Linked DNA regions of Oryzias latipes. Each later gene encodes a partner of the first gene's protein in a complex. Links are inferred from orthologs where the notes say so. Each region holds a gene or a part of one and is shown in the gene's direction. Other genes may lie near its edges. The genes, in order: dihydropyridine-sensitive L-type skeletal muscle calcium channel subunit alpha-1, cacnb1 and cacnb2.

Region 1 (7,679 bases):
TTTACAGCCGTATTGGCTTACAGACTGAGTGAATTGGATTTACCGTCAGGGTGCAGATGGATTCTCTAAATGGGTCAAAGTTTTAGACCTGATTGGTTTTCAACGTGTTGGAAACAGCATTTCATGTACAGAATTTGCAGTAATCCTTTTCTTTTCAATATTGTCTGACTTTTTGCTTTCTTTCTTTTTTTTATTTTACCTCTAAAAAAGGAATGGAAACATCTGTTTGTTATCTTGTGAAGTTGATGATTGGAGGAATGGTTGCTTCACGTATCACCACTGAATTTAATCCATTTATAGGCTTTAAGTAAATACAATATGTGTGGACATGTAATATGTGTTAGATTTTATTTATTTCATTTAGTACAACCGATCATCTAATTTCCTGTTGAACATCAGAACTGTAACTCAGGAGAACATAGTTCTGATTTCTTTCAGGATAATAAATTCACATATTGTTTAAATTTAAGTAAAGACTGAAAATAATACAAACAGATGATGCTTGACCAGAGGGGGAAAAAGGAAATTTGAGAGTTGAATGTAAGAACTTTTTCATTAAAATTGAAATGCTCGATATGTCCTGCGGCAGGAGAGTCTGGAGTATATCTTCTTGATCATCTTTACTTTGGAGTGCTTCTTGAAGATTGTGGCGTATGGGCTCGTGTTCCACGAAGGGGCCTATTTACGGAACTGTTGGAACATATTGGACTTCGTCATCGTCTTCATGGGGTAAGCTGAGCTCTGAGCTGCAGCTAGAGGACTCTAATGCCAAAGAGCAGAGCCACTTTTTGAAATTTAAAAAAAAAAAGTGGATTCTGAGAGTGCCAGCTTTAAAACTTCCCTTCTTTTTGTCTTTTGTGCTTGCTTGTTCACTTGGGCAGCTTGTTCACCTTTGCTTTGGATACCATCAATATGATCGCAGGAGTACCAACAGAGAAGGGTGGAGGATTTGACATGAAGGCTCTAAGAGCCTTCAGGGTGCTGAGGCCCCTTCGCCTTGTCTCTGGAGTCCCCAGTAAGACCTTGCACTCCTTTTCCCAAAAACTGGCCCTGCTTTTTTTGTACTATCTAAACCATATGGATGTTCTTTGCAATCAAAGCTTACTGAGATTTACATTTAATTTAAATAACCCCTTTTCAAGGCCTACAGGTGGTCATGAACTCCATCCTCAAAGCCACACTGCCTTTGGTGCACATTGCCCTGCTGGTCTTTTTGTTGGTCACCATCTATGCCATCATGGGGCTGGAGCTCTTTAAGTGCAAAATGCACAAGACCTGCTACTACACAGGCACAAGTAAGTATAGAAGAACTTCCCTCAACATGCTCACTCTGGTCCTGTTTTCAGTGTTTGTTGTTTTCTTTTGTGCACAGACATCTATGCCACAGCGGAAGGGGAGCTGCCTGCTCCGTGCGCTCAGGCTGGTAACGGACGCCGCTGCTCCATCAACGGCTCAGAGTGTCGCCCTGGATGGGAGGGTCCCAACAATGGTATCACCCACTTTGATAACATTGGTTTTGCAATGCTGACTGTGTACCAGTGTATCACCATGGAGGGATGGACCAAGGTCCTCTACTGGGTTAGTACAGGTTTTTACTAGTGTTCGGTTTGATGTGAGTCGTGAGCTCCTGGCTGATGTTCTTAAATATCTTCTCAGGTTAATGATGCCATAGGAAATGAATGGCCATGGGTGTATTTTGTTCCTCTCATTCTTGTTGGTTCCTTCTTCGTGCTCAATCTCGTTCTGGGCGTGCTCAGCGGGTAAGACTGCTGTTATTTTTTTCTTAACTGTTCTGATCTGTGGGTTGTCCAGTCAAACAAATGAATCATGCTTTTTTACCACTCGATTCCACTCAGAGAGTTCACTAAAGAGCGAGAGAAAGCCAGGTCAAGAGGAGAGTTCCAGAAACTGCGGGAGCGACAGCAGCTGGACGAGGACCTCCATGGATACATGGAATGGATCACCCATGCTGAAGTCCTGGATGCAGACAGGGAGGGCAAAGGTCAGATCTGTAGGCAAACAGCAGCACCCTTGTTGCTAATGCAAACACTGCATCAGATTAAAAACGGTTGTCTTGGTCTTTCAGGTCTCCTACCTTTGACCAACGGAGACTCTGAAACAGACAGCCTGTATGATTTGGAGGGCAAAAGTCGCATCATCTACTACTAGTGAGTCCTCTGTTCTGTGATCATACACAAGTTAGAATACAAAATCAATTAGATTCTTGTTTCCCCCTTTTTTTTAACAACGCTCCAGTTCAGAACCAAGGTTATATTAGATAAAAACACCAAAAACATCAAACAAAACATTTTTCTATGTAATATTTCTAATCCAGTTCAATCCAGATAATTCAAATAATGACCGATTATCTCACTTATATACTAATGTCTTGTATGAGTGACCAACCGATTACATTGAAGGAATTTTGATGGAGTCCCTGTAATCAGCTAACAAAAGGAGACAGTAGAGATATAAAAAAATCCTAGTTTGGAAAATTACAAAGGCTGTCCTTCAGTGAAACAAAGGTCAGTAGGGCAACAATCTGCAAAGGAAATAAGTTAGTCATTGCAGCAGTTAGGAATAAGGAAGTGCGTGAATACAAAGTCACTGAACATCTGTTAGAAATTAAAAGACATATGTTAATACCAAATGTAGCATATTTGACAAACTTACGTCTGGTATTAGGCAGAGAAGATAAATTATTCATTGCAGCAGTGAGAGGATAGAAGCAGATGATACCAAATCCCTGTTTGGATTATCTGTTATTGGACAATTGATATGTTAGTTACTTCAACAACAATAACAACACAGAATTAGAACAGAAAAACTTAAAGTCATTGATGTCTTTTAAAGACAGAAGTAATGTGTGCATCACTGGGAGAGCAGGAATATTATAGACCAACTCAAAAAAAGCCCCACAATGAGCTGCTTTTTTTCTGTGTTTAGCCGCCTGGCCCGTCGTTGGAATCGTTTTTTCAGGATGAAATGTCTGGTGTATGTGAAGACGAAGGGCTTTTACTGGCTGGTGATGTTCCTCGTCTTCCTCAACACTCTGACTATTGCCACAGAGTATCATCATCAACCTAAATCTCTTACTACTCTGCAAGGTTGGTGTTTGGACTACCGGACACCTTTTTCCCTTTTCATCTCCTCCCATCTCAGTTTCATGTTGTTCTTGTCCTCTTTCATCCCAACAGATGTGGCCAGTCGTGGACTGCTGGTGCTTTTTGTCCTTGAGATGTCTGTAAAGTTGTATGCTCTCGGACCAAGAGCATACTTCATGTCCTTGTTTAATCGCTTTGACTTCTTTGTGGTGCTGTGCGGCATCCTGGAGATGATCATGCTGTCTGCAGGAGCAGTAGCTCCGCTCGGTTTCTCTGTCCTCAGGTGCATACGGCTCCTAAGGATCCTCAAAGTTACTAAGTAAGTCGAACTCTTTGACATTTTAGCAGAAGTTGAACATGTTCAGACTCCTCTACAGTTTTCCCTTTATACTTTGATGTGTTAATATGTAACATCTGTTTACAATTTTTAGGTACTGGACTTCTCTGAGCAATTTTGTGGCCTCTCTTCTCAACTCTGTCCGCTCCATCGCCTCCCTTCTCCTCCTCCTCTTTCTCTTTATTGTCATCTTCTCCCTTCTGGGAATGCAGGTGTTTGGAGGGAAATTCAACTTTGATCACAACCGACCCGCTCGCAGTAACTTTGACAACTTCCCTCAGGCACTGATCAGTGTATTTCAGGTGAGGAAGACTGACAGTGTTTTGACATTGAACACTATTTTGTTGGTTTTAAAGTCCCCACTCCAAAAATCTTTTTTATCTATTGTTGAAGTGTTCTCAGTGGTCTTTTAATTATGGTTTTGCACATTTTTGCCAAAATTTAAAAAGCTGTATCGTTTTCTAGGACGTTGTCTGCAGAGCAGCAGTAGTTCATTAGAAATTCGCCTCTGAGTTGAGGGATGGTCTGTTGGTGTGAAGAAACTCCGCCCCCCTTCCCCTCCCTGTTTTCTGAGAGTTCGGAGCAGGGAGCTTGTGGCCCGCCCATTATATTTTCTACATCACAAATAAGCTCTTTATCAAATGGCAATTTTTTCATTTGCTCCTGATTCCCAATTATTTGAATAAAGAAATAATAAGAAAAACAAATTAGAGCTTAGTTGTCTTCATATATATGTGTCCTTCATGAGAAAAATGCCACAAGGACATGTTAAAAACACCAAAAACATTAATTTCACTGGAGTAGATCTTTTAGATAGAGTTTAATGTCAAAAGTCATTTTAGTTTGCAAATGTTTTTTAATATGTAATTTTCCCTCAGATTCTGACTGGAGAAGAATGGACCATCATTATGAACAATGGTATTATGGCTTACGGAGGGCCTGTCATACCTGGCATCCTGGTTTCCATTTTTTTCATCATCCTTTTCGTCTGTGGAAATTGTATCCTGAGAATTAGTCATAAATCTCTTTTCAAACTTAAAAATGATAAGCATGGCAGCTTTTTTGATGGCCACGGTTCTAATTTTCCTGAACTCAGTGTAACCAGATATCCTCCTGAATGTCTTCTTGGCCATCGCCGTTGACAACCTGGCAGAGGCTGAGAGTCTGACTTCAGCTCAGAAGGAAAAGGCAGAAGAGAAGATGAAGAAGAAGCTGCTGAGGTGGTTAAACAATTAAAACACAAGTTAAAGGAAGAGTTATGTTTTTGCATTGGCAAATTTCATTTATTTTTGGGATTTACACCCAGGTCCAAAATGCCAGAGAAGACGGACGAAGAAAGAGAAAGGATTGCTAAGAAACTGGCAGAACAGAGGGCCAAGTTGGAGGGCATGCCCACCACCGCCAAGGTTGGTGTTGGGTGATGTTGTAAAACATACAGTGGTATGAAAAAGTTTGGGCACCCCTGATAATTTTCAAGATTTTTCTTCACAAATCATTGGTTGTTTGGATCATCAATTTCAATTAAATATATAATATAGCAGACAAAACACAGTGATATTTGAGAAAGCAAATGAAGTTTATTATGGAAGCGATTCTGTAGCATAATTAAAAATAAAAGTCAAAACCAGAAATGCTTTTTCATTTTCAAAATGAACTTTTGACTCAAAATTAAAATGAAAAACAATCCGCTAAAATGCTTTTTCAGTTTCTTCTTCGACATTGATTATTCTGTCACTTAATTAAAACGATAAAGAAAATGGTATTTGACATTTCATTTTCAAAAAGTTCTCTGGTAAATGTGTAGCAAAATTCATTTAGAAATGTCTAATTTGACAATTAAAATGGATTAACAGTAATGCTTTTTCATTTTCAAAATGTAACTCCATCAAATGACTCAAAATTAAAATGAAAAAGCAATCCACCAAAATGCTTTTTCATTTTAAACTTTAATTCCGCTTATTCTGTGTCATAATTAAAAACGAAAATACAAAGAGGGGATTGCATTTTCATTTTAACATCCACCCTGCGAACATTGTCGCAAATATTCAATTCGAAAAAGCATTTCCAGCGAGGAGGCAGGGCGATGACGTCACTGATTTCTCCGTCTGTCCGGCTGCTAAGAGACACAGAGATGCTTGGAGCAGTGGAGCTTTGTGTTAGCAGCAGAGGAGACGGCTTTGTGATGGTTGTAAAAGGAAAAAGCATTTTGAAGGAATGCCTTTTCATTTTAACTTTGGGTCAAAAAATGCAGCGTCATTTTGAAAATGAAAAAGCATTTCTGGTTTTGACTTTTATTTTTAATTATGCTACAGAATCGCTTCCATACTCAAAACAGCTGTCAGATTTCATCATCATAGTTTAGGTGAAGGATCCAAAAAGCTTGCTTAGAGATTTCAGCTCTCAATTTCCACTGTGAGGAATATAGTGAGAAAATGGAAGTTCAGGCACAGTTCAAGCAAAGGCCCGGAGTTGCCGGCCCAGAAAAATCTCAGATAGGCAGAGGCGAAGGTTGGTGAGAACAATCAAACTCAACCCACAGACCAGCTCCAAAGACCTACAACGTGATCTGGCCGCAGACGGTGTCACTGTGCATCGGTCAACCATTCAGCGCACTTTGCACAAGGAGATGCTGTATGGAAGAGTAATGCGGAAGAAGCCTTTTCTGCGCACATGCCATAAACAGAGTCGCTTGAGGTATGCTAAAGCACATTTGGATAAGCCAGCTTCATTTTGGAATAAGGTGCTGTGGACTGATGAAACTAAAATGAAGTTATTTGGACATAACAAGGGGCGGTATGCTTGGCAAACAGAGAACACAGCATTCCAAGACAAACACTTACTATCCACAGTCAAATTTGGTGGCGGTTCCATCATGCTTTGGGGCTGTGTGGCCAGTGCAGGTACTGGAAATCTTGTCAAAGTTGAAGGTCGCATGGATTCCAGTCAGTATCAGCAGGTTCTTACAAACAATGTTCAAGAATCAATGACAAAGTTGAAGTTGCGCCGGGGCTGGATACTTCAACAAGACAATGACCCTAAACACTGCTCTAATTCTACAAAGACATTCATGCAGAGGAACAAGTACAATGTTCTGGAATGGCCATCTCAGTCCCCAGACCTGAATATTATTGAAAATCTGTGGTGTGATTTAAAGCGGGCGGTCCAAAATACCTTCAACCAGAATCCAGGCCCTTATTGAAAGTTATAGGAAGCGATTGGAGGCTGTCATTTCTGCAAAAGGAGGATCTACTAAATATTGATGGCATGTCTCTGTTGGGGTGCCCAAATTTACGCACCTGCCTATTTTTGTTTAAGTAATTAAAACACAGTTTCTTTAAATCCAATAAACTTCATTTCACTTCTCAAGTATCACTGTGTTCATCTGCTATATGATATATTTCACTGAAATTAATGATCCAAACAACCAATGATTTATGAAGAAAAATTTTGAAAATTATCAGGGGTGCCCAAACTTTCTCATACCACTGTAGATTGTGCTAAAGGATTATAACTTTATACTGTTTTTTGTTTTCAGCTTAAAGTCGATGAATTTGAGTCCAATGTCAATGAAGTGAAAGATCCATTTCCACCTGATGATTTTCCAGGTAAACCAGTTCATTTGTCTTCCTCTTCATTTATTGTTTTAATGTTGCTGACAGGTAAAAATCAGGGCAGTTGATCTCAACCAGCTCCTTGGGTTGTGTGCTGAGAATTTTAAAGCTGTTTTTAAGTCCATTGAGTGACAACCATCATAATTCGTACAGTCTGAAAATCCTCTCCCCAATCTTTGATTTAGTGTTTTATTCAATGCAAGTTGAAGTGCTGGTATTGTTCTGCAGTCTGTTTTTCTGCTTTTTAGGTGATGATGAGGAGGAAGAACCTGCAATCCCCCTAAGCCCTCGGCCTCGACCAATGGCAGACCTGCAGCTGAAGGAAGAAGCGGTTCCATTACCTGAAGCCAGTTCGTTTTATATTTTTGGCCCTCAGAACAAGTAAGATAATAAAAGAAGTGTTTCAAAGATAAAGATGTGTAAATTCTGTCTAGCTCATGTCTGTACTTTGCAATCCAGGTTCCGTAAACTGTGCTACAAGATCATCAACGCTTCGTCCTTCACCAACTTGATTCTACTTTTCATCCTGCTGTCCTCCATATCGCTGGCAGCTGAGGACCCCATCGATCCAAGGTCCTACAGAAACGAGGTGGAAGCCGAGTCAGACTCAGCATGTTGGACAACAAT
Region 2 (7,679 bases), on another chromosome or scaffold:
TGGTTCCCTCCATGAGACCCATCATTCTGGTGGGACCGTCTCTCAAAGGCTATGAGGTCAGACACACATTATGATGACAAACACAAAAAACTCTAAATTATTGTAAAAATCTAAACTAAACAATTACTTTAAAAAAATATGAATAAAGCTCCAAGTTGTCTACAAACATGTTAGTTTTATGGTAACATTTATACTGAATTACACGACTCGCAATAAGTAAGGGATATTGTTATTTGCATGAGTTCTTATCGCATTTAGTTTAAGTTTTAATGAAATGCGTTAAAGTTCCCTTTGATATTTCTAATAATGCAGGAAAATAAACACTATTTTGATTAGTTTGATATGAATTGACAGCGACGTTCTGCCCCCTCTAGTCTCATGATGTTGTTCTGAGGCGTTCCACTCTTCCACAAGTGCCACATGCAGTGTTGCCAGATCACTTGGGGGGGGGGGGGGGGGGGGGGGGGTAACCATCATCCAGTCTCTGCTTCAGCTGGTCCCAGACGTACTCTATGGGGTTCAGCTCAGGGGTAATTGCTAACCGCATCATATGAGGCACTCCGACTTCCTGAAGTCCAGCTGTAACAATTCTGGCACCATGTGGTGGAGTGTTATCATCCATGAACAGAAAGTTGGGGGTGTCCTGGGGGAATTGGGGGATGATGGTGGTTCTATGATGTCTCTGAGGTAGGAGCGTGCAGTGACTGAACCATCTCCAACTGGTGATGCCTGCCCAGAATGTTGCTCCTCCTCCACCAAAGCTCACCTTCTCTAACAATGCTGACGACCATCATTTCTGGGTAGGGTGACCCCAAACTCATCAGTGAACATGATGGAAGACCATTGCTGCATTGTCCAGGTCACATGGTCTTGTGTCCGCTGCAAACTTACACGGCCCTGTCTTGCTGTCAGTGGAGTCACCTGCAATGGTTGTCTGGCATTTGTGAGGAAGGCTTATCGGGATTATCTCCATGAGACTCAGTAGAATGGATCCCACAGATATATCCTCCAGGGTGGCCCCCCAGGGTGGCTTCAGGCCAATGTCTGGCCTCCATTGGAGACTATTGGAGAAACCTCCAATAGTCCTTAATACGTCAAATGGTCGTCTTCACCAAATCTACGTTTTTAGTGGTCTGTGTCGGTGCCCTCTGCTCCTGCCAGTAAGATCATGTATACCTAACTGGTTTTAACTGGCTTGCATTTCCTTAGGATTCCATAAGTGGGTTAATGTAAGCAAAATGTACTAATCAATGAGTTATTAATTGCATAAAAGTAAAAAAAAGCTTTCATTTAGGATGGCAAACCCTTTACATTCCAGTCAAAGCAGTGGAGTTGGTTGTGAATGTTCCAGAAACTCTGGTACCCCTCACATCTGGTAAACGGGCCAGCAACTGCGTGGTGTTTCTGTGTGCAGAACATGGCTGTGTTTTTTCACAAACTCTGCCAGTAGTTCCGAGTCTTGATGGAAGTCTGCTGATGACACTTGAAGACAAGGTCACCTGACTTCACATCTGACTGCATGCTGTACCAACCTGAAGGCGCGCCATCGCCAGATAGATGGTGCTGCTCATCCATTAAGCGATGCTCATGGCTGTTTGAATGATGATGATGGAATGACTTACTGGTAAAATCAGCTTTTTACATCCCTAGAATGCTGAAATTGATGCCACATTGAAAAGGATTTTCTTTTAGAATTTTTGTTGTTTTGCTTTTAAGTAAGACAATGAACACAGTCAGGTCATTATGTGAAAAAAAACCCTAAATAAAGTGTTCACCACTCCAATACAATTGCCTCCGTATCCTGAAAATCTGTAAAGTGAAACACTTTTTACAACATCCTCTAAGTTTTTCACAGTATCCCTTACTTATCGTGAGTGCCGGGTATATTTACACTTTATTCAATTTGTGTTTTTGCTTTTTAGGAGAAACCTATCTTTTAAAATAGACATAGCTGAGTCAGAAAATTATTTGCTGATTTAAGATTATTGCATAAATAAGTGTTTATAGTGAAAGAAATATGTGAAAAACTATTTTTTTTCTAAAAAACATATTAAAAAAAAATTTTTATTGCTTTTTAATGAACCTAACTACACTAATGGCTGTCTGTTTTTGAATGTTTTGTTATCCAATAGGTGACAGACATGATGCAGAAAGCTCTCTTTGATTTTCTGAAACACAAGTTTGAAGGAAGGTAAAAGAAAAAAAAAAAGGCTTCAACAATGCATGACCTGTAATGTTATACGTTTATCCTGTAAAGTGCTGGATCTCTGTTTCAGAATATCCATCACGCGGGTGACAGCAGACATCTCTCTGGCCAAACGTTCAGTCCTGAACAACCCCAGCAAACACACCATCATCGAGCGCTCCAGCACTCGCTCCAGCCTGGGTAAGAAACCTCGCTTCGGTGACCAGACGTCTTCTGGCAGTGAAAACTTTTATAAAATGAAACTCTGGAAAATTAAAGATGTTTGTTCATTGTGTCGTGTTGCTGAACATCTTTTCCTGTCTCTTCCATATCCCTGTTTCTTTAGGTACACTTTTTTTTAAAGTATAAGACTCCAAACAGCTTATTCAAATAGCAAGAAAGACATTTTTTATGTGTTTCTGATTCTCACAAACCAACTTCAGCACAAATCTACATTTATTATTTTGGCTTTTGTAGCTGCATCTTGCAGTTTGACTTGATTGCTCAGGCACAGGGGAATTTGTGATTAAAAATTGGAGAAATTAGAACATTTTGGGAGGAGCTGATGTTAGATCAACATGCCAAAAAGGGATTCTTCGGAGCCTTGAATCCAACTTGTTATAACTCATCTAAGGACCTAGCCATAATAGGGTAGACACAGCATAGGATGTACCTCATCAAAAGACCTGTAAGCTTTTACAACTCCTCTGATCGAGTCTGATTTAGGCCTTTTCTCTCTTTTCATCTTGTCTCTTGTGCCCTTCAACCATCCTCCTTACTCTGCCAAACCTTTCCTCTTCCTCCTCCTCCTTCTCTGTCTTGTGATTCAGACGTACTGGGTATGTATGCTCTCCGTGCAATGAAACAATGCAGCTTCTCTCCCTCTTCTTTTCGCTTTTCCCCCCCTAACTATATTCATCATGTACTCATACATTGTTTGTCTGTTTGCCTGTCAGTTTCTCTGTTCCTCATACCTCAGAGTGACAGCCTGCAGTCTGGAACAAAAAGGAAAGAATTACGAAACCCGCGCAGGCAGAGATCTGTGGGCGACTGCTTGCTGCTGTTCAAACCACATATTGCAATTACCCCTAAAAGTAGTCTGGATACAGTACGTCTTTAGTAAGACTCTTGAATGGCCCCTATACGAGCTGGACTTTACCTTTTATATACTGTTAAAACTTGAGTTATTGCAGTTGTTATCCATATTTACTTACCTTAAAAGTTCCCATTTCTTGTCACTTGGACTGACTGACTGGACAGCTTTAATTTGGAGTCCTCCTGGAGGCTTCTGAAATATGGGGCCCCTGTCGATTAAACGGCCTGTTATCTGTCATCACTGCTGAGTTGGCACAACTTTGGAGGTGCTGATGTTTGACCCCCAGGGCAAGGGGCACTCTGGCTGTCAGTTTAACCCTGGCTGTAGACATCGACATCCAGAATCAGAACCGGAAGTCTGCCCCATATCGCTCGAAAAAAAACTGGCAAACCCTGCCAGTTCCAGTTTGGTAATGCTTTATAATAATCATCTATTATAAATCATTATAAATCATCTATTATAAATCATGAATAAACTGTTAGTTAATGGGTTATAAATAACAGTCATCAGTGTATCAATGTTGGAAATGTCCCTCCTTTCTTAACGGTTAATAAATGAGGAATGTTTTCCACTTTGAAACAACATCCCAGTAACAGATAAGCCATTACCTAATACTTAACAAATCGTTGTCGAGAAATTTATTAAATGCTTGTTCATGATCAATTTTTAGTTATAAAGGCACATTTATAGATCCTTAACAAAGTTATTTATAACTCGTTAACTTACAGTTTTGTTAATAATTTACCAAGCTATAACCCATAGTTATTATAAAGTTTTACCTAGAATATTTCCAGTTTTAAGCTGTAATGCATGTTATTTTTACAATTCTGATCACTTCTGGGTTAAGGTTAAGGTAAGTTGTATGTTTTCCACTTCCGGCAGATGATGTCAGGCGCCATTTTTTTCCCTCTCGATGAATGTTGGAACTACGCTTGAAATGCAAAAGCTCTGGTTGGCTGTGGCTGAGGAACAATGAAAACAAAAAGTCCTCCGTCTAGAATGGCTATCCTGATGCAATAATTTTGCTGTGCCTATTTGTGCTAACAAAAAAACGTTTTCTCCCCCCATGCTGTATGTTTTTTTTATCTGTATTTTGTTTGTTTCTGTTTTGGTTACATGGTGAAGAATTGTGCCCTCATTGTAAGCTATTTCAAGTACCACAGGCATCTCATTTCTAAGTGCCTCCTTCCTTTACAACCTCAAATTAGAAATGATCAGAAGCACTTAAGAGAATCTGAAATGTCTGGAGGTGGCAACTGAATGAAGATGCTCCAGTGCTCCATTTAGCTCTGAATAAATGGAACTTAAAACTGTGGTCCAACCTGATTTACATCCTTGAAAGCTTGTGGGCTTTTGTCATTGTTTTTAAAAAAAATCCAAACGTGCACGGTGAGGAACTAACATGTTCGTTTAATAACTATGCAGAAAGTAAGAGAATTTAACTGCTGTTCAAAGCTGCATCTCCTTAAAGATAAAAGCAGCCTGCTTTTTAATAACTTTTTGTTTGTTTATTTATTTGTGTCTCTTTCCTGTGCTGTCAGCTGAGGTGCAGAGTGAGATTGAGCGCATCTTCGAGCTGGCCCGAACCCTGCAGCTCGTTGCTTTGGATGCAGACACCATCAACCACCCCACTCAGCTGGCAAAGACCTCTCTGGCTCCCATCATCGTCTATATCAAAATAGCATCTCCCAAGGTAAACCTTCATGTCTGGTATTAATTTGTAGGGATGGGTACCATTTGGAATTTCATCTGGTGCCAAACTGGTGCTGTTGAAATTGTTCCGGTGCTCAAACGAGAGCTTCAAGAATGGGGATAAAAAACACCCAAAACAAATTTACATATGATGAAGCAGCGTCACGGGTTGAAGAAGAGCACTTGAGTTTGCCTAATATGCTTTATTTCATTCTTTCTGACAGTGTGTACTGCAGCCCTGTATTTGTTTTCACACACGGCAAAGTAAAAATGTATTTTATTATTTTTTTTTTTGTACTTCGAGTGGATTTTTTTTTTAATAAACTTTATTATTCAACACAAACGGAACAAATATGTATGACAGGAACAATAGTCATAACAACAACAATGTCAGGGGATGGTACATGTATTACAAAAAGATTACAAATGCTATGCATTGAAAATATTCAGAGACAGACAGTTTTCATAAATATGTACGGCCTTTTTGTTTAAACTATTAGAAATAGTATGTAAATAAGATTCTAATTCTTTAATTATTAAAGGGAAAAAAAGTTGTGATGAAGAAAACTTTGATTTATGAATATGAAATTTACCAAATATTATAATTAGATTAATTGCCAATTTTACGTTTGATCTTATATTTTTTTCGTGTAGGACAAATATGATATGTTCAAATTTCATCTGATGTTGTGAATCTAAATTATAATTTATAAAACATGCACAATCTTTCCAAAGTTTTTTAGTAGTATTACAATTCCAAAATAGGTGACTGATTGTTTCTGGGTGTTCTTTACAAAAGGTACAGTTGGGGTCAATAGTCTTCTTATATCTGATCATGTATTGATTAGTGGGATAGATTCTATGTAGGAGTTTGTAGGAGACGTCTCTCATCTTGTTATTAATTAATAATTTCTGATGCAGGGTCCAAACATTTTTCCACGGCAAGTCAGGAATAAATTTTCTCCAATAAAAAACAGCAGAGGGAACAGAAATTACATTTTGCTGAAACAGGGCACGTATGATCTTGTTATTTTTTCGAGCACAGTTGAAACAAGATTTTCCAATAGTGGTGTCACTTAGAGATATGAAGGGAATATTTGCATCAAGTACAGTATTTTTAAAGAGTTCACAGAGTAAAAATGTATTTTAGCACTCATCGCCACAACGTTGTATGCATCACGCTCATCCATCAGGTTGCTGAATTAGAATCTTACGGACAAACTTTTGCTGGAACGCTTCACCTACCCCAATGGCCACGCCCCATTCTTAAATGAGCTTGGCTTCAAGCTCCTGTTTTTATGCGGTACTATTTGAGTTGTTGCTGTTGACTCGCTGCAGGTTCTCCAGAGGCTCATTAAATCCAGAGGAAAGTCTCAGGCGAAACATCTAAACGTTCAGATGGTTGCAGCAGACAAGCTGGCTCAATGTCCACCTGTGAGTCCTGATTTAGGAATTATACTTTATTTGGACATTTTTGATTCTCTGCTTCTGCAACACCAACTAAGACTTGCTTTGTTTGTGGCACAGGAACTGTTTGACATCATCCTGGATGAGAACCAGCTGGAGGACGCATGCGAACACCTGGCTGACTACCTGGAGGCTTATTGGAAGGCAACACACCCACCTAGCAGCAACCCTCCCAACCCCCTACTCAACCGTACTATGGCCACGGCGGCCCTCGCTGCGTCTCCCGAGCCCGTCTCCAACCTGCAGGTACAGGTGCTCACCTCCCTGCGCAGAAACATGGATCTGTGGCCTGACTTGGACGGTGCTGTAGCCAGTGAGGGAAAAGAGGAAGAGCACACTGTCTGAAGCACGGCGTTGCGGTGTGGGATGGGCACTCCGGCAACCTGAACCGACCTCTGCAGCCTGCTCTCGCTAGACAGAAGGAGTAGTGCAATAAAGCCCGGTTTCTGCTGTTATGAAGCCGAGAAGAATCACACACATGTGCAAAAATACAGGGACAGCTAGATGAAGAACAGATCTGTAGTCTCGATCCAAACCGGTGGACTGTTTAAAACTGTGAAGGCAACACCTCAAACGACTGAACTTAGTACCTTTGCCCCTGGGGCCCCGTTCCCTTTCACCAGTCAGAGGTAAAATAATATCTGCCCCCCACTCCCCTCTACGTGTCAGTGGCCTCATTTTTTCAGCTCCCCTCCTTCTCTGAAAGGCCAAATCCAGTTTGCTGTCCTCCTCTGCGTTGCCATGGTACTGCCCCTGAAAACAGCAAGTCATTTCCTGCTCTTCAGATAGAAAAGCTCAAACATTTCTAACTGACCAGCATAATCGATTAACAATGCTACTAATAGACAGCTAGTCACCTTTAATTCTGCTTCTAAGTCAGGATTGTTTGCTTATTAACATACTTGTGTTGCACTGTTTTACACAATCGGTAAAAAAAAAAAAAGCAATTGTAAAGTAGAACATAAAGGACAGTATTTCCATTTAGAACAGTTTTAGAGTGAAAATCATGAAGGGGGGGGGGGTAAAAAAAAAAAGTTTTTAGGTTTAGTAATGACCTTTTCCAACCACCAGATGGCAGTGTTGTTACTGTTCTGTTAACCATATCAAACAAGAACATTAAGGTAATCCATCCATCCTCTGAATCCCTTTCAGGGTCACAGGTCTGCTGGAAATAACCCAGCTACTGTCCATAACTAGTCGCCAGTCCTTTTCACAGACTCACACATGTTCATCTAGGGA
Region 3 (7,679 bases), on another chromosome or scaffold:
ATTTTCTTAATAAACTGACTTTTGCCTAATAAATTTATGGCTTTAATCTGCTAAATTCTCAATTTATGACTTTGAAGTTATTTGAAAGTTTTGACTCGTTTTACTGTTTTTTCCATAATTTTACAACTTTTTTCTTGTAAATTGTTATCAGTCAGGGTATTGATTAATCTGTTGTGGTTTTTAAAACATGTTTGAAAGACCTTAAATAAATAAACTGAGCTAAATGTCATAAAATGACTCCAACTAATCTAATCAGAAATTGAAATAAAATTCACAATGGTAGGGGTTTTTTTTGTTGGCTTTTTTTGTTGGATCTGCTCAACATGGCGTGAAGTCCCACAGAACCTGTTTGTTTTACCTTTATGACTTTCAGAAATTGTTTATACAAAGTACAAAAATGTTGATTTCGTTTTTGTTTATGGCAGTCTTGACCCCTGTCTCCTCCTGTCCTCATTTGCCGTAGGTCCTGCAGCGGTTAATCAAGTCCCGAGGCAAGTCTCAGGCCAAACACCTCAACGTCCAGATGGTGGCCGCTGATAAGCTGGCCCAGTGCCCTGCTGTGAGTCTCCTAACCGGACCCCTGACTTTTGCCCTATTTAGAATTTAAAAAAAGAAGACCTGCAGGGTTTCTTTGATTTGTTCAGGTCAACTGGAGACACTTTGATCAATCAGCTCCTCAAAGTGTTCTTCTTCCAGGGAAAAACGTTTTTGCACGGTTAAAGCCTTAAATTTTGCGTAAAAGTCCAATTGTTCTCATTTAGAGCCTTAGTCTTTTTAAAATCATTTTTTTTCTACTTTCTCTTGAGGTCAAAGCTTCAGAATTCCAGACAGTTCTATTTTCATTCTTCTGTAATCCGATTAATTAACATTTTAGAAAACGAAGTGAGCACCCTCAGGATGGGAAAAGTTCAAGCTTAATTTAAGCCAATTTCTTGAGGGAATTACCATTTAAAGTTTCCTGAAAATTAATAGCTAGCGGTGTTTTATTAACTCTGCGGGCCGTTCGTTTAAATATAGCTCTGACATTTTGTGTATGCATCAGAAAGATCATTGTAGGCCTCTTTTGCAGCTTAAAACTGAGTTTTTTGGGGGGGATTTTTCTCCTTTTCTTTAAACGATCTCGCTCTTCCAGGAGATGTTTGACATCATCCTGGACGAGAACCAGCTGGAGGATGCCTGCGAGCACATGGCAGATTACCTGGAGGCGTACTGGAAGAGCACACATCCCACCAGCAGCAGCAGTAACAGCCCGCCCGATCCACAGCTAACAAAGCAGCCCACCGCCGCACTGCCCTCCAGCCAGGCCCCCAACTCCGGAGTGCAGGTACAGGTGTGTGCACAAAGGGAATTCTGGGAAACCAGTGATAGTGCTATTTTATCGTATATTTTCCAAGTACTAAAAGTCCAGAGTAATGAATATCTTCATCCAAATGCTTAAACTGTTACTATTTTTTTTATGACAGAAGGAATAATTACACAGAAACGCATAGAATTAAATGACAACATAAATAAAAAGAAATAAGTCTAAAGGAAAAAATAATTAAAAAAATACACATTTATACTCACAAGTTGGTACTAGAGGAGATCGATTGGTTTATTTCAAGCAATTTTCAGCAATAAAGACAAAAGAATACATAGATATATTAAAACAGGTTAATTTATGATTTGATTAGAAAATAAATGAAAGAAAATAATCCTGTCTTCTTGACATTATAGTTGCTCCAAATCGTAAAGATTCAAGCCCCTAGCATAAGAAAGGCCTTTCTTTAGAAAGACCTTCTAGAGTGGAAGTCAAAAACGGTCCTGTTTAGTATATAAATGTTCATGAATGGCAGAGTAATACAAAGCAGTTAAATACCCACTCTGATGAACATCGTGGATTTTTTTCTGATGATGGAGGACATATATAAAGAAAATGAAGCTCCAAATTGCATTCCAGAGTATTTGTTTATTCTAATTGTTGTGAATCTGTTCAATAAATAACTTATATGTGTTGTAAAAAATAAGCTGGGTGGGCCTAAAAACTCCCGCTAACAACGATGGGGTTGCGCCGCTCTGACGGTCCTGCCCACAACTCGGAGGCAAATTTCGAAGGAACTATTGCCGCTCTGCAGAAACTACGTCCTAGACGACTTTTTGATTTGGTCTAAAAACGGCATAATCATAGTCATGAAAAAAATGTGTTTATTTATCATTTTGTCTACCTTTGTGATATTCACCCTATGATAAAACATTTTAGTGTAAAAGTGTGTTTAAAACTTGTACCTCTGCCCTCCCCTGCACTCAAAACGGGAAATGTAAGACTGTAGAGGAAGACAATGCTGAGAATGATGAAGAGCAGGAATGAGCTTGTATTTGCTAGTTTGGTAAGTGTGTGTTGAAGGGTGAAGCTCTGCATGCCTCCAAGACCAAACTCGAGTCTTCTTTGGGTCTGATTTACCTCTGTGTGTGTCTGTGTGTGACTTTATAGGAAAATGAGTTTTTGAGTGTGCGGTGATTTCGTTTGTTGGTTTTTGTTGGTTTCTTTCCGTTTGCTGACGGTTGTGTTGTCGCTCCAGAGCAACAGCACGGAGCAGAAAGGAGACAGAGCGCCAGCTGAGAGGAAGAGCTCCAAGGAAGACTATCAGCACCATCATCACCACCACCACCATCATCATCACCACCAGCAGAGTCAGGAGCAGGCGGATGCAGACGTGGAGGCAGACGGGGAGGGAAACGAGGAGGAGGAGGAGGAGGCGGAAGAAGAAGAGGAGGAAGACAGGCCCCTCAGGACAGAGTCTTCCAAAAGAGCCCAGCACATCCACCACAGGTCGTCTTCCTCCAGAACTGAGCAACACAACCATCATCATCATCACCACCACAGCGGCAGGGCCCGGGGCCTCTCTCGGCAGGAAACGTTGGACTCAGAGACTCCTGACAGCCGCAAAAGCAAAAACTCGGCTCACAATGAGCCACGGGTGCAGCCGCACCACCGGGACGAGGAAGAGGAGGAGGACGATGTGGACGTTGGGGAAGGCCACCCCCAGAGGCAACAGCGTTATGAGCCGTTGCCCAGTCGGGACCACAACCACCATCACCACCACCACCACCACCGCAGCGGGGCAGAGGAAGGCGGCCATGGCACGGGACAGCAGCGCTCCAAAGAGCGCGAGCAGGACCACAACGAACGCAACAAGCAGCGCTCCCACCACCACCACCGGCCGACACGCGACCACCACCACTACTATGACCGCGGCAGGGAGAAGGACTGAGCGGTGGCCCCCCTCAAAAAGGGGCGAGGCGGGGGAGTGGTCCAGACCAAACTCTGTTCTGTTCTTCCTTTGTTCTGCTATCCCCTTAAGCGGCACAACGCCCTATTTATGTCCACGTCTTTGTAAAAGCTGCTGTTTGCAGGATTTTGACCATGAAAATATAAACATACATGTGTGTATCTATGCATAGACTTTGTTTATGCCTGGATATGCGTGAATATTCTCAAATATGCATTCTTTGAACCTGTGTTTGATAAAGCATGACAGAAAAGCAGATTTTTTTCTGTTGTGAGCTGTGCTTTCTGTGATTAGCATAAACAATTTTGATCATTTTTATCGATATTCTTTGTTTTTGCTCGCTACCACTTGAATTTTTTCCCCCCTTTAGACTACTGCAATGGTTTATCCGCTGACCTAGTTTGTATTCAGAGATTAGTTTGGCAATTTGGGAAATTCACTCGCTCCGATTTTACACGGTTTACGAAACTGAACCTAAGTTGTGCTGAAGAGACATATGGGCTACTTTATTTTGAAAGGGTCTGCAGCATGTTTTTGGCTTTTTCTGAATTATTTTTTTACCCGAAAAAGGAATATAAATAAACCGTGTCCATCAAAACAATTGTAAATCACAAATTGCACCTTTAAAAGAACTCATTTTCAAGCCGTGTCACACAGCCACTAAGTACATTTTGTCATGTTGTGCCTTTTCCACATGCGGAACACATGCGTGATATACGTAATAAGTGTTTATTGCGTTTGTCCGTCAAGGGTTTCAACCAACAGGTCTTTATGTGAATTCGGTTTTAAGCTGTTCAGCAGTTTATGCGTATTTTATGTAGTTTTTTACACAATTACTGCTTAAATCTTTACACAATTGTGTGTGATTTTTGCAAGATGCATAAGAAAGTTTGCGGCTTTCCACGACCTTTCCACTTAAGTCTAACTGATTTTTCTGCAAGTATAAATTTTACATCACGTTAGAATTACGTAACACATGAGTTTTGGGCCAGAAATGGCTCTTACAATGATTTACGTGTTCTTTGCCGGATGTATTCGTACTTCTTCCATGGTTTCAACGTGGTTCACGTGTGATATATCTGAGAAAATTTTACGTGAAGTCCACAACTTTTCTCACCTTTTCCTCGTATATTTGTGTATGACCAATTTTCATTGTGGCTGTGTGACACAGCCTTTCAATCAAAGTTCAAGAATCTCCATGTATTTGGAGCAGGACTTTAGTTCCAGGGTTGCTGATGCAGTAACTAGATTGAGACTGGTGTCCTGTTTGAATAATAAATGTGACGGAAAGCTGTGCTAAGACCAGAAAAAAAAAAAAAAAAACTCCCGCTGATATTAGATTGTATTTCTTTACTGCATTATAAATCTACTCTACAGATGATCACATTATAATTGGAAAGCTTAGCTGCATGTGAGCAGCTGCTGACTGTAGCCTCATAGATTACAACCGTTTAAGATGTCTCATCCCAGCAGAAAAGTGGTCTTCCCAAGTTGTCAGACTACTCCTTTAATTTCTTTTTTCTTCTTTAGTTTCCCAGGATTCAAACTTTAGTTTTCAAAGGCCTCTTTTGGGACCTTAGTCTTGCCTTACAAGACGCTCAAGTTCAAAGCAAAATTCTCTGTCTGACATGCCGAAACTGCCCTTTAAAGTGGATCCAAAAACCCTTTTTCTAGCATCGTTACACCCTTTATTCTTACTGATTAACACTGGTTTTCAAGTGAAAGTGGTTTGATATGATTCTCCACTCTCTGTAGGTCTGTCTGCAGAACTGCACTGCGGCTCTCCTCTTACCAATCCCCTTTTTTAATGAATGTTTCATTTCCACTTGATTCCCTCTCTTCTTCTCTGTTCAAAGAACGTTATGAATGATTTTTTTTTTTTACATTAAAAGATAAATTTACAGAATAAGCTTTAAAATGATTAAATTTTTTACCACTTGAACATGTTTCATTCAAGCTTTCTGCCATCTCCCTCCTCCACTGACTAACACACAGGATCTATTTATAGCACATCAGTGGGTTTGGGATATTCTGAGAGCTTTGATTGATTTTGTCTCTATCATCACCACCATCATCATCACCACCACCTGCAGAGCCAGGAGCAGGTGGACGCAGACACTAAAAAAACCTAAACCATGCCTGGTTCTGCTTAGGTTACCGTACACACCGACCCGACAGTTTTTTGTTTTGTTATATGCCCCAAAAGTGTCATTCCAAACCCCCCATTTCTATGCTACATTTGTAGCGCTACGGATTTTTAACAGTGTACATGTGTATGTACATAAAGTTACATAAAGAATAAAGTTGGCAACAAAATAAACCTGATGACACAGTCGTCGGATGTGTGCTTTGTCAGAACGCCCAGAAACAGGCGGGATGCAGCTTCTATAAATAGTCACCAGAAGCTGCTGAAAAATTGAGGTAGACCCGCCCGCCCGCCGCCTGAGTCGTCATGACAACACTGAGATGAATGGCAATACCGGGAGATGCGTCTAAAATGGGAAGAGGAGTCTTCACACACACACACACAAATGGGCTTCACGAGAAGGCACTGCCAAAGAAGAGAAAAATGGAAAAGAAATCAAGACATCAAGAAAGGCTGACTGATTTGGTCAGTCATGTGCTCCTTTAACCCTTGCGCTATCTTAGATGACCCCACCCTTACTTTGACGTGTTCTACCTACCATGACAAAGGTGGATAAAGGTGGAAAGATTTCATGTAATCCATGGACACCAGTGAAGATCACAAATCATTGAAGAAAAAAGGTTCAGAGCACTGTCTAGTGGGTCTAGATGACCCAACTCCCAACGTTAAAGTGCCTGGGATAGCAGAAGTGATAATAAGAGCGCCATTGATGCACGGTGGCACAGTGGTTAGCGCTCTTGCCTCACAGCAAGAAGTCCCGGGTGGGGGACCTGAAACAGAACATCAATGGGGGACCTTTGTGTGTGGAGTTTGCATGTTCTCCCCGTGCATGCGTTGGTTCTCTCCGGGGACTCTGGCTTCCTCCCACCGTCCAAAAACATACTTCATAGGTTAATTGGTCACTCCAAATTGTCCATAGGTGTGAGTGTGCATGGGTGTGTGATATGTGTGACCCTGTGACAGACTGGTGACCTGGTGACTGGTGTCCCCTCCCTTCGCCCATTTGTGGCCGGGATAGGCTCCAGCAGCCCTGTGACCCCGAAAAGGGATAAAAGGGAAGAAGATGAATGAATGTGCTCCTATAAGCCATGTGTTACGCCTATATTCTCACGGAGAAACTCACTACACATCTTAAACATTAGTGGAGAACAGCTGACTGAACAGATCTTAACACCATTAGTTCATCTTTATGAGCTAATGGTGTCAGTTAAATGTTTTAAGATCTGTTTAGTCAGCTATTGGCTATGAGTGTTGATTGGTGTTTTCCACTCAATTGGTAACATCTGCAAGGTCATCGCTATTTTTTAAATATTTTAACAAAGCTTTAATTTTGAAAATTGGAGGAAATGTTTTTCAATTATTTAGTCCAGAGCGTTCCAAAAATAGGTTTTATGTTGTTCATATTTGGATGAAAAATCACTTTTGCATTAACAAGTAATAACTGACAGCAGATTTTTTTCTAGATTCTATTGGTAAATACACTGAAAATGTGGAAAATGAATTCATGTTGACTGATGGCAACAATATTAAGAACTAGAAAGTAATGTATAATATGCATAAGGTGCTTCTAAATGATACAAAAAAGGCATTTACAGCTCAAGATTTCAATAACACATGCTTTTATTGTGAAAAAACGTGACTTCCTCCTGGATACTGCAGTGGTTCAGGCAGATGCATCACTCGACTAATTAATTACCCCTCCCTCTCGTCTCCTGTGCTGCTAAAGATGCTAAATTGTTAATACCTCTCATGACCTCTTTCTGCTCACTACTTCCTGATCCGGAGAATCCACCGTCACCATGGCAGCAGTGTCGTCACTGTTGTTATGGCGACACAAGCATTGCTGCATTTTCCAGCCCCCATTCATTCTCCTTGCCTCTGTGTGTTTTTTAAAAGCTCATCCCTACATGGGCCGCAGATGTTAAGAGGCAGATCCTGTAAACAGCAGAGAGCTCTTTGTCAGTGCCAGCACGTCAAAGCACGCCGCGCCGTTGCAATATAAACACGTTTGTTCCCAAAAGCACACGCCTGCGGTCAGCTTTTCAGAAACTTGGCAATAAAAAACCCAATAGTGTCCCTGTCTGCCCTGCACTGGAGCGGGACGGAGGCGTCTGTCTGATCCCAGCTCAACTCCGGACTGAACCTCTGGAGGAGACGCAGCTGCTCGCATGACAAACCCGCTCCCAGCATGCCCTCTGCGCCGATGTGAGGCTCCTGAGATAGGCAGAGACAGGATTCAGGGGAGTCCCTCTAGTGTGTGTGGA

Evidence for each region.
Region 2: dihydropyridine-sensitive L-type skeletal muscle calcium channel subunit alpha-1 (region 1) and cacnb1 share a complex: the UniProt entries of both Homo sapiens proteins name them as parts of the calcium channel complex. The link is inferred for Oryzias latipes from reciprocal best matches to the Homo sapiens genes CACNA1S and CACNB1.
Region 3: dihydropyridine-sensitive L-type skeletal muscle calcium channel subunit alpha-1 (region 1) and cacnb2 share a complex: the UniProt entries of both Homo sapiens proteins name them as parts of the calcium channel complex. The link is inferred for Oryzias latipes from reciprocal best matches to the Homo sapiens genes CACNA1S and CACNB2.

What each region holds. Positions count from the first base shown.
Region 1 is NC_019865.2:11,945,018-11,952,696, reverse strand, and holds part of dihydropyridine-sensitive L-type skeletal muscle calcium channel subunit alpha-1, read left to right. Parts: intron 1-589; coding exon 590-729; intron 730-881; coding exon 882-1,015; intron 1,016-1,142; coding exon 1,143-1,295; intron 1,296-1,372; coding exon 1,373-1,578; intron 1,579-1,656; coding exon 1,657-1,760; intron 1,761-1,856; coding exon 1,857-2,002; intron 2,003-2,086; coding exon 2,087-2,168; intron 2,169-2,946; coding exon 2,947-3,107; intron 3,108-3,197; coding exon 3,198-3,423; intron 3,424-3,535; coding exon 3,536-3,743; intron 3,744-4,319; coding exon 4,320-4,440; intron 4,441-4,546; coding exon 4,547-4,661; intron 4,662-4,747; coding exon 4,748-4,847; intron 4,848-6,976; coding exon 6,977-7,046; intron 7,047-7,300; coding exon 7,301-7,433; intron 7,434-7,511; coding exon 7,512-7,641; intron 7,642-7,679. UniProt on the Homo sapiens protein: Pore-forming, alpha-1S subunit of the voltage-gated calcium channel that gives rise to L-type calcium currents in skeletal muscle.
Region 2 is NC_019866.2:5,368,547-5,376,225, reverse strand, and holds part of cacnb1 (voltage-dependent L-type calcium channel subunit beta-1), read left to right. Parts: coding exon 1-56; intron 57-2,132; coding exon 2,133-2,191; intron 2,192-2,276; coding exon 2,277-2,386; intron 2,387-3,015; coding exon 3,016-3,024; intron 3,025-4,822; coding exon 4,823-4,974; intron 4,975-6,311; coding exon 6,312-6,407; intron 6,408-6,500; coding exon 6,501-6,686; intron 6,687-7,679. UniProt on the Homo sapiens protein: Regulatory subunit of L-type calcium channels. Regulates the activity of L-type calcium channels that contain CACNA1A as pore-forming subunit.
Region 3 is NC_019878.2:20,087,107-20,094,785, reverse strand, and holds the end of cacnb2 (voltage-dependent L-type calcium channel subunit beta-2), read left to right. Parts: intron 1-463; coding exon 464-559; intron 560-1,132; coding exon 1,133-1,324; intron 1,325-2,558; coding exon 2,559-3,251; 3' UTR 3,252-5,604; downstream 5,605-7,679. Other genes in the region: putative methyltransferase NSUN6, read right to left, coding at 7,450-7,629. UniProt on the Homo sapiens protein: Beta subunit of voltage-dependent calcium channels which contributes to the function of the calcium channel by increasing peak calcium current. Plays a role in shifting voltage dependencies of activation and inactivation of the channel.